2 linked regions of the Ovis aries genome follow. The protein of the gene in region 1 interacts with the protein of each later gene in a biochemical or structural test. Links are inferred from orthologs where the notes say so. Each region holds a gene or a part of one and is shown in the gene's direction. Other genes may lie near its edges.

Region 1 (3,512 bases):
CCTGGTGTGCTGCGGTCTGTGGGGTCGCAGATAGCCAGACACAAGTGAGCAGCTGAACAACAGCACCAGCAGTCGACAGCAGCAGGTAGTGAGCTGTGCAGTGAGGCAGCTGCTGTTCTAAGTGCCTTTCATACGTTACCTCATTTATCTCTACAGTAACCCTATATGATAAGTAGGGTATTGTTTCCTCCTTCTATATGAGGAGAAAGGAGAGGCTCAGAAGCTTCTGAAGCCATATAGTAAGTGGGAGAGCCAGGATTCAGACCCAGGAGATCAATTTATTATATTGGTTTTGTAGAATTTGACAGGCCTCTGTGTGTTTGTGTGCTCACCAGCTTCAGTCATGTCTGACTCTTTGTGATCCCATGGACTGTAGCCTGCTAGGCTCCTCTTATCCATGGAATTTCCCAGGCAAGAATATTGGAGTGGGTTGCCGGTTCCTTCTCCAGGGGATCTTTTCGACCCAGGGATTGAACCTGGGTCTCCTGCATTGACATGCAGGTTCTTTATCACTGAGCCACCTGGGATATGCATGTGTTACCCATTCAAAATAAATCATCAAAACTTTCCCCCTCAAAGAAGGAAAGTGTGAGAGTCACACGCCTGTGACTTTTTCGTTTCAGCTCAGAGACCCAAGTAAAGCCCCTGTGTCTTCTCCCCTAGGTGCTAAGTTCCCCATTAAGTGGACAGCTCCAGAGGCAATCAACTTCGGATGTTTCACCATCAAGTCTGATGTGTGGTCCTTTGGGATTCTCCTGTACGAAATTGTCACCTATGGGAAAATTCCCTACCCAGGTACTGCTTACTTACCTATTTCCATTTGCGGGATATATATGAGAAAAAAGCCAGGTGGTATGAGACATAAAAAAGATGAACAAATATCCAGAGGAAAGACAAGGGTGTGAGAACTTTGTCTTTAGTGGAAGGTATTGTAAAATATGCTTAGACACTTCTCCGCCTTCGTGTCTGAGTGCATGTCTTTCGATCCACTAATGAATTCCACCACCAACAGCCTTGAATGTGCCTGGCGCGGTCACAGATATTGCTGAAGCAACATGGTTGGAGGACTAGACACGGGGCTCCTCCCAAGCCTCGCGCCGGATGGTGGAGGAAACGGACATAGAAATGATGCTGTATGATTCTTGCTTGGTCAGTTCTGAAACAGAGATTTGTATAATGTACTTTGGAGTCTCTGCCACTTCAAGAGACAACCACCTCTGTCTGCAAACAAATGATTCTTCACATCCTCAACTTACTGGCTGTGGGGACGTCATTCAGTATTTCCAGATGCCTAGCATCTTCCCAGCCAGATTCTGCCAGCCGTCCCTTTTCCAGAACATGGAAGCAGAGGGACTTTTCCCCAAAGCCTTCTCTTTCTTGTTAATGTTGGGCTTTTCACAAAATCAATGGATATGGCCAGTTTAAAAGTAAACCTTTAATGTTTAAATCATTCCCTCATTCAAAAATCTGAGGGTGCTAAGCATTCCCAAGGTGCTGGATGGAGCAGTCCCAGCTCCTCCCTTGAGAGCTAATGGTTGAGTATTAATTACAATCATTTGTAATAATCACTGATAATAAGGACCGTATGTAGGATGGGAAGTATGCTGTTGGGGGAGGGTGTGATGGTTTAGGGATTGGGGTGAGGGGGTGGGGTGCAGGTTCTAAAAGCGATCCAGTAGCAGCAGGGACTCAGTGCCTTGGCAGAGAGCCCCAGGGGCTGTCCGGGGCTGGGTGTCCCATGGGGGAAACAGCCAGAGCACCGGTCCCGAGCAGGGGCAGGAGGTGTGGGGATGACGTGGAGCGGATGTGAGCCTCAGAGGCTGCCCAGGGGCTTCACCTCTGACTTTGCAAGAGATGGGAGACTTTGGGGCGGAGCAGTGATGTGGCCTCTAGGCTCCTAGTCACCTTTGCTGCTGTTGGGCCTAGAGGGCTGGCGGGAGGGGGAAGCCTTTGGGTGGGGCCTACACAGTGGGCTGACGGTCCCGTGAAACCCTCCGGTGCCAGATTTCATATTCTGGTGGCTGCTCTGCTCTAGACACCGAAGTTAATGAATAAAACCACCGCAAAATGGGGACGGTATTTCTGAATCAGCCCAGATATCTATCTATAATCTGCAACCTATAGAGAAAGATTATATACTTTGCCTATATATGACACCTGATCAATAAACATACAACCTTACAAGTGTTGTGTGGTAGGTATTGCATGCTCCACAGTGATCTGTGGACAAGGCTCTGGGGCTCAGAGAAGGAGATTTTGGCCCAGAGCCGCATCACTGCCTCCTATGGAATCCTGGCCACCTTGCCCTCACCCACTGGACTTATCACCATCATTCATTTCCAGAACGTCTTCATCTTCCCAAATTGATACTGTACCCATTAGACCCTAACTCCCCGACCCACCTACCCACCTCCAGCCCCTGCTGTTGTTGTTGTTGCTTATTCATTCAGTCGTGTCCAACTCTTTGCGACCCCATGGACGGTAGCCCGCCAGGCTCCTCTGTCCGTGGGTACTCCAGGCAAAAATACCGGAGTGGGTTGCCATCCCCTTCTCCAGGGGATCTTCCCAACCAAGGCATCAAACCCAGGTCTCCTGTACTGCAGGCGGATTCTTTACCACTGAGCCACCAGGGAAGGCTGCTAAAATGGCTGAATTAGCATGTTTTATTATCCCATTTTAATGATGGAGAAAAATACTATTAAAATGACCTTTTTTTTCCCCTTAAAGCTCTTCTCAGTGTCAAAGACGGACAGTTCAGTGTCTGAGCTAACCTGAGACAAGTGATTAGAGTAAAAGCCATCCTCCACAGTCAGCAATCCTGCAGAGCCCGGCAGGAATAGTGGGTGCCCTGGGCTTCCAGGTGGAGCTAGTTATAAAGAATTCATCTGCCAGTGCAGGAGATGTTTAAGAGACACAGGATGGATCCCTAAGTCAGAAAGATCCCATGGAGAAGGAAATGGCAACCCACTCCAGTATTCTGGAGAATCCCATGGACAGAGGAGCCTGGTGGGCTACAGTCCATGGAGTCTCAAAGAGTCGGACACAACTGAAGTGACGTAGCACGCAGGCACGCTGGTTCCCTCCCCAGAGCCTGCCGAGCTCTGCCTCTTCTTGTCCTGAGGACAATTTGAGGAGTGGAAATGAAACAGTTGGTCTAGCTCACTTAAGGATCCTGACTTCTTTAAGTAAACTTGCAATGAAAAGCTGATTTTGAAAAAGTATTGGGAGATAATAGGTGAGAAAATGATGGTTTTTTTTTTTTTTAATTAATTACCATTAGAAGCTGGGGGAAAAAAATAGTGCAAAAGACAGTGAGATGAAATGTTAGAATTGGGCTTGTTTATTCACAAGATCTGTCAGGTCCAACATCCTTTTGTCGTTAAAGAGAACTCGCTCTGTCTCTGCTTATCACGTTCACTGGTTTTTACTTTGGCAGCTGAATGCTGCCTAGAGCCTCTTCGTACTGCCCTCCTTTATAGGATTACGTTGCTTACAGAAATGTCCTTAGCCCC
Region 2 (4,087 bases), on another chromosome or scaffold:
CTATAACATATATGGACTATCCCAATTTTTCTGAATGGCCTACACAACAAAAGTTTATTTTCTCAGTTCTGGATGATAGAAGTCCACGATCAAAGAGTCAGTAGGGCTGGTTTCTCCTGAGTCCTCTTTTCATGGTTTACAGATAACCACCTTCTTGCTGTGTGCTCACTTGGCCTTTTCTGTGTACATATGCCTCCCTGCTGTCTCTACCGCTTCTTCTTTTTTTCAGGAAGTATTTATTTCTTTATTTTTGGCTATGCTGGCTCCTTGTCAGTGTGTGGGCTTTGTCTAGTTGTAGACAAGCATGGGCTTCTCATTGCCGTGACTTCTCTCTTTGTAGAGCATGGGCTCTAGGGAACGTGGGTTCAGTGGTTGCAGCTGTAGGGCTTAGTTGCCCCATGCCATGTGGGATCTTCCTAGAGCAAGAATGGAATATGTGTCCCCTGCATTGCAAGGCAGATTCTCAACCATTGGACCACCAAGGGAGCCCTCTACCTCTTCTTATAAGGACATTAATCATGTTGGATTAGGGTCCCACTCAGACTACCTCATTTAACCTTAATTACACCTTAAAGGCATTATCTCCAAATACAATTACACTGGGGATTGGGATTCGGTGCTTACACTTTGGAAGAACACTATTCAGTCCATAACAGCAGTCCACTGTGAGTCTCAACGGTAATCTTTTGCCCCAGGCATCTGTGGTTGGTTTATCTTGTGCTTTTCTGGCCTAAGTTTTAGACTCAGCAAAACAGAGATGAATGTCTGCATTATGGACTATCCCGTTTTTTGAGGAGGACGGTAAATAGAAATAAACAACATTGTAAGGCACAAGCAAAGCAGGTCTGAGGGCTCTGTGAGGCATATGGCCACTGGTTTGCAATCTCTGATCTATTATAGAGTAGGCAGGCAAGTTTGTAACCTGTAAACTACGGTGCTTTGCTGTGTCAGGGTAAACAGTACTTGGGTGTGGGGGAGGGATGGCAGCAGGGGGTGATTCCCTCCTGCCAAAGGTAAGACCCAGAAGTGACTCCTCTGGCCGTGACTCGGTGCTTTCGCCCCACAGGCCACTCTCCTTGTAGCTGAACAGCGGCCGGAGCCTACAGAGCTGCGCTGACGCTACCCCCGTCTCAGGGCCTGAGGACAACGAGCCCACCCTACCAGCCTTTCAGGGAGCAGGGCAGCAGCGACTGGGGTTTTGAAAGCTTTCATCAGAAAGTTGTGGGCGGAAACTTCCGGGGGTTTGCTCTGAGCTTCTTGAAGCTTCTCAGGTTCAGATGCAGAGTGAGTGGGTGTCTCTTTGAGAAGCAGAAAGAGAGAACGAAAGAGAGGTGTTTCCCTTGGTTCTGGAAACTCTATAAAGAGAGAACCGGCTTCCTTCTCATGAGCAGTCAGAAATAGGAGTCCGGCCCTTGACACCTGGGCCTCCGCACGACTGAGGAAGAGGAAAACCCTTGGCTGGGGGCTGGCCTGAGGCACTGGATACCATGCAGCAGCCCTTGAATTACCCATACCCCTCAATCTTCTGGGTGGACAGCAGTGCCAGCTCCCCCTGGGCCTCTCCAGGATCAGTCTTCCCCTGTCCGTCCTCAGTGCCAGGAAGGCCGGGGCAAAGGAGGCCACCACCACCGCCACCCCCAACACTACCGCCATCGCCACCCCTGCCTCCACTACCGCCACCACCTCTGAAGAAGAGGAGGGGCCACAACACAGGCCTGTGTCTCCTTGTGGTGTTTTTCATGGTTCTGGTGGCCCTGGTTGGACTGGGGCTGGGGATATTTCAGCTCTTCCATCTGCAGAAGGAGTTGGCCGAACTCAGAGAGGTAAGCTGCCTGGGGGATTGCCGCACCCTGGAATGTGCGGAGGTGGGGGATGGGGTGAAACTGCCCTGCTGCAGTGGGGGAGGAGGGCGACAGAAATCCACATGGACCACACTTGGCTTGCAGCATACTTCTCAATCCTTTCTTCCTGTCTTAGAAATGAATCACGCTAGCCATCCTGTTCTGCCTGCAGAGAAATGGGGGCTCAAATGGGTGGAAGGAATATTTTCTATCTTGGGAGGGATCAGGATCAAATCAGGACTGGCAGATGATCAGTTGGCTGATCATCTGAGAGAGGAAGAACTCTGCTACCTACCTCATACTCGATTCAAGAAAGAAAAGGGACTTGGCATCTGAGAAGTGAATTTGTTCAAATGCACAAACTAAATTTCCTTGAAAGTGCTTAAAATTATTAGAACTATTTCAAATCACAAAACTGAGGCATGGACAGGCACAATTGCTTGGCCAGAGTCTGAGTTAGGAGAGGTTCTGGGTGCTTAGATTCCCTTTCCAGTGCTTAGTTTATTTGACAGTTCTTCTTCCTTTGCTTAAAGAACTTCATCAGTTCAGTCGCTCAGTCGTGTCCGACTCTTTGCGACCCCATGAATTGCAGCACGTGAGGCCTCCCTGTCCATCACCAACTCCTGGAGTTCACTCAGGCTCACATCCATTGAGTCAGTGATGCCATCCAGCCATCTCATCCTCTGTCGTCCCCTTCTCCTCCTGCCCCCAATCCCTCCCAGCATCAAAGTCTTTTCCAGTGAGTCAACTCTTCTCATGAGGTGGCCAAAGTACTGGAATTTCAGCTGTAGCATCATTCCTTCCAAAGAAATCCCAGGGCTGATCTCCTTCAAAGTGGACTGGTTGGATCTCCTTGCAGTCCAAGGGACTCTCAAGAGTCTTCTCCAACATCACAGTTCAAAAGCATCAGTTCTTCGGCGCTCAGCCTTCTTCACAGTCCAACTCTCACATCCGTACATGACTACTGCAAAAACCATAGCCTTGACTAGACGGACCTTAGTCGGCAAAGTAATGTCTCTGCTTTTGAATGTGCTATCTAGTTATTATGTATCTTTTCTCTTTTGCCAGTCCACCAGCCAGAGGCATACAGCATCATCTGTGGAGAAGCAAATAGGTGAGTTTTTTTATGCTTGCACGTTGAGTTTCTAAAAACAGTCCTCAGCACCAACCATGTTGGAGGAGTACCTTGAATTCCACCTTATTCTTAGGCATATATAGACTATAGAAGAGAAATCCTAACCAATTCTGAAATCTCTTGTCATTTTGGTTCTTGAAACTGCCCTAAAATATGAAGTGAGTTTAACTGTTCAAAATTAGTTAAGTATCACAGAAAAATTCAAAACTAATTTCTGCTTGAATTTGGAAAGAGAAACACAGATGTACAACCCTGGACCTTTGCCCACCCCCCACACCCCAAGCAGCTGGCTCCAGGCCTGCCCCCTTCCTCAGGCCTCCTGATTCCCATGTACAGGGCGGTGGCTATAGCTCCTCAGGAGAGAAGGGAAGGTGCAGACAGACACAGCTGTTGCTGGGAAAGATCCTTGCTCTCCTATTTAATCTCTGTACTCTTGCCTGGAAAATCCCATGGATGGAGGAGCCTGGTAGGCTGCAGTCCATGGGGTCGCTAAGCGGACATGACTGAGTGACTTCACTTTCACCTTTCGCTTTCATGCATTGGAGAAGGAAATGGCAACCCACTCCAGTGTTCTTGCCTGGAGAATCCCAGGGATGGGGGAGCCTGGTTGGCTGCCATCTATAGGGTCACACGTAGTCGGACATGACTGAAGTGACTTAGCAATAGCAAAAAAAAAAAAAAAAAATTACTTAAGAGTCAGACCTGATTTAAAATTTTAATAGGTTATATTTAAGCTTTTAAAGAGTGGGCAACCAGTCATCCACATTAGGGTGGTTCTTTTGCAGCCGCTGGAAAGCTTGGAGGAAGACGTTAGGCATTTTACAGAGGGTAGTCCCACTTCACTCAGAGACAATCATGCGCTGCTTTTGATAATAAAGGGAAATCCTCTGTGTGAAATTCAGGACAGGAAGATGACAATGTTGAACATCGGCCTCCTAAAGTTTCAGGACATAGTTTTGGAAACTGTGGATTTAGAATACTCGTTAAACTAAGATGGAAAGGAGGTTAGAGAACATCTGGTCCAGTCTTCTCACCTTTCAGAAGAGAAGCAAAACACCAGATGGATTAGTAATGTCCCCAAGACCTCTGCTGTGGAATGGGGCTGAGAAGG

The links. The genes of interacting proteins can lie anywhere in the genome.
Region 2: the proteins of LYN (region 1) and FASLG form a complex in vitro, tested with the Homo sapiens proteins (2 studies listed by BioGRID, with this or other methods). The link is inferred for Ovis aries from reciprocal best matches to the Homo sapiens genes LYN and FASLG.

What each region holds. Positions count from the first base shown.
Region 1 is NC_056062.1:36,228,783-36,232,294, forward strand, and holds part of LYN (tyrosine-protein kinase Lyn), read left to right. Parts: intron 1-663; coding exon 664-795; intron 796-3,512. UniProt on the Homo sapiens protein: Non-receptor tyrosine-protein kinase that transmits signals from cell surface receptors and plays an important role in the regulation of innate and adaptive immune responses, hematopoiesis, responses to growth factors and cytokines, integrin signaling, but also responses to DNA damage and genotoxic agents.
Region 2 is NC_056065.1:39,431,126-39,435,212, forward strand, and holds the start of FASLG (tumor necrosis factor ligand superfamily member 6), read left to right. Parts: upstream 1-1,277; 5' UTR 1,278-1,487; coding exon 1,488-1,823; intron 1,824-2,909; coding exon 2,910-2,955; intron 2,956-4,087. UniProt on the Homo sapiens protein: Cytokine that binds to TNFRSF6/FAS, a receptor that transduces the apoptotic signal into cells. Involved in cytotoxic T-cell-mediated apoptosis, natural killer cell-mediated apoptosis and in T-cell development.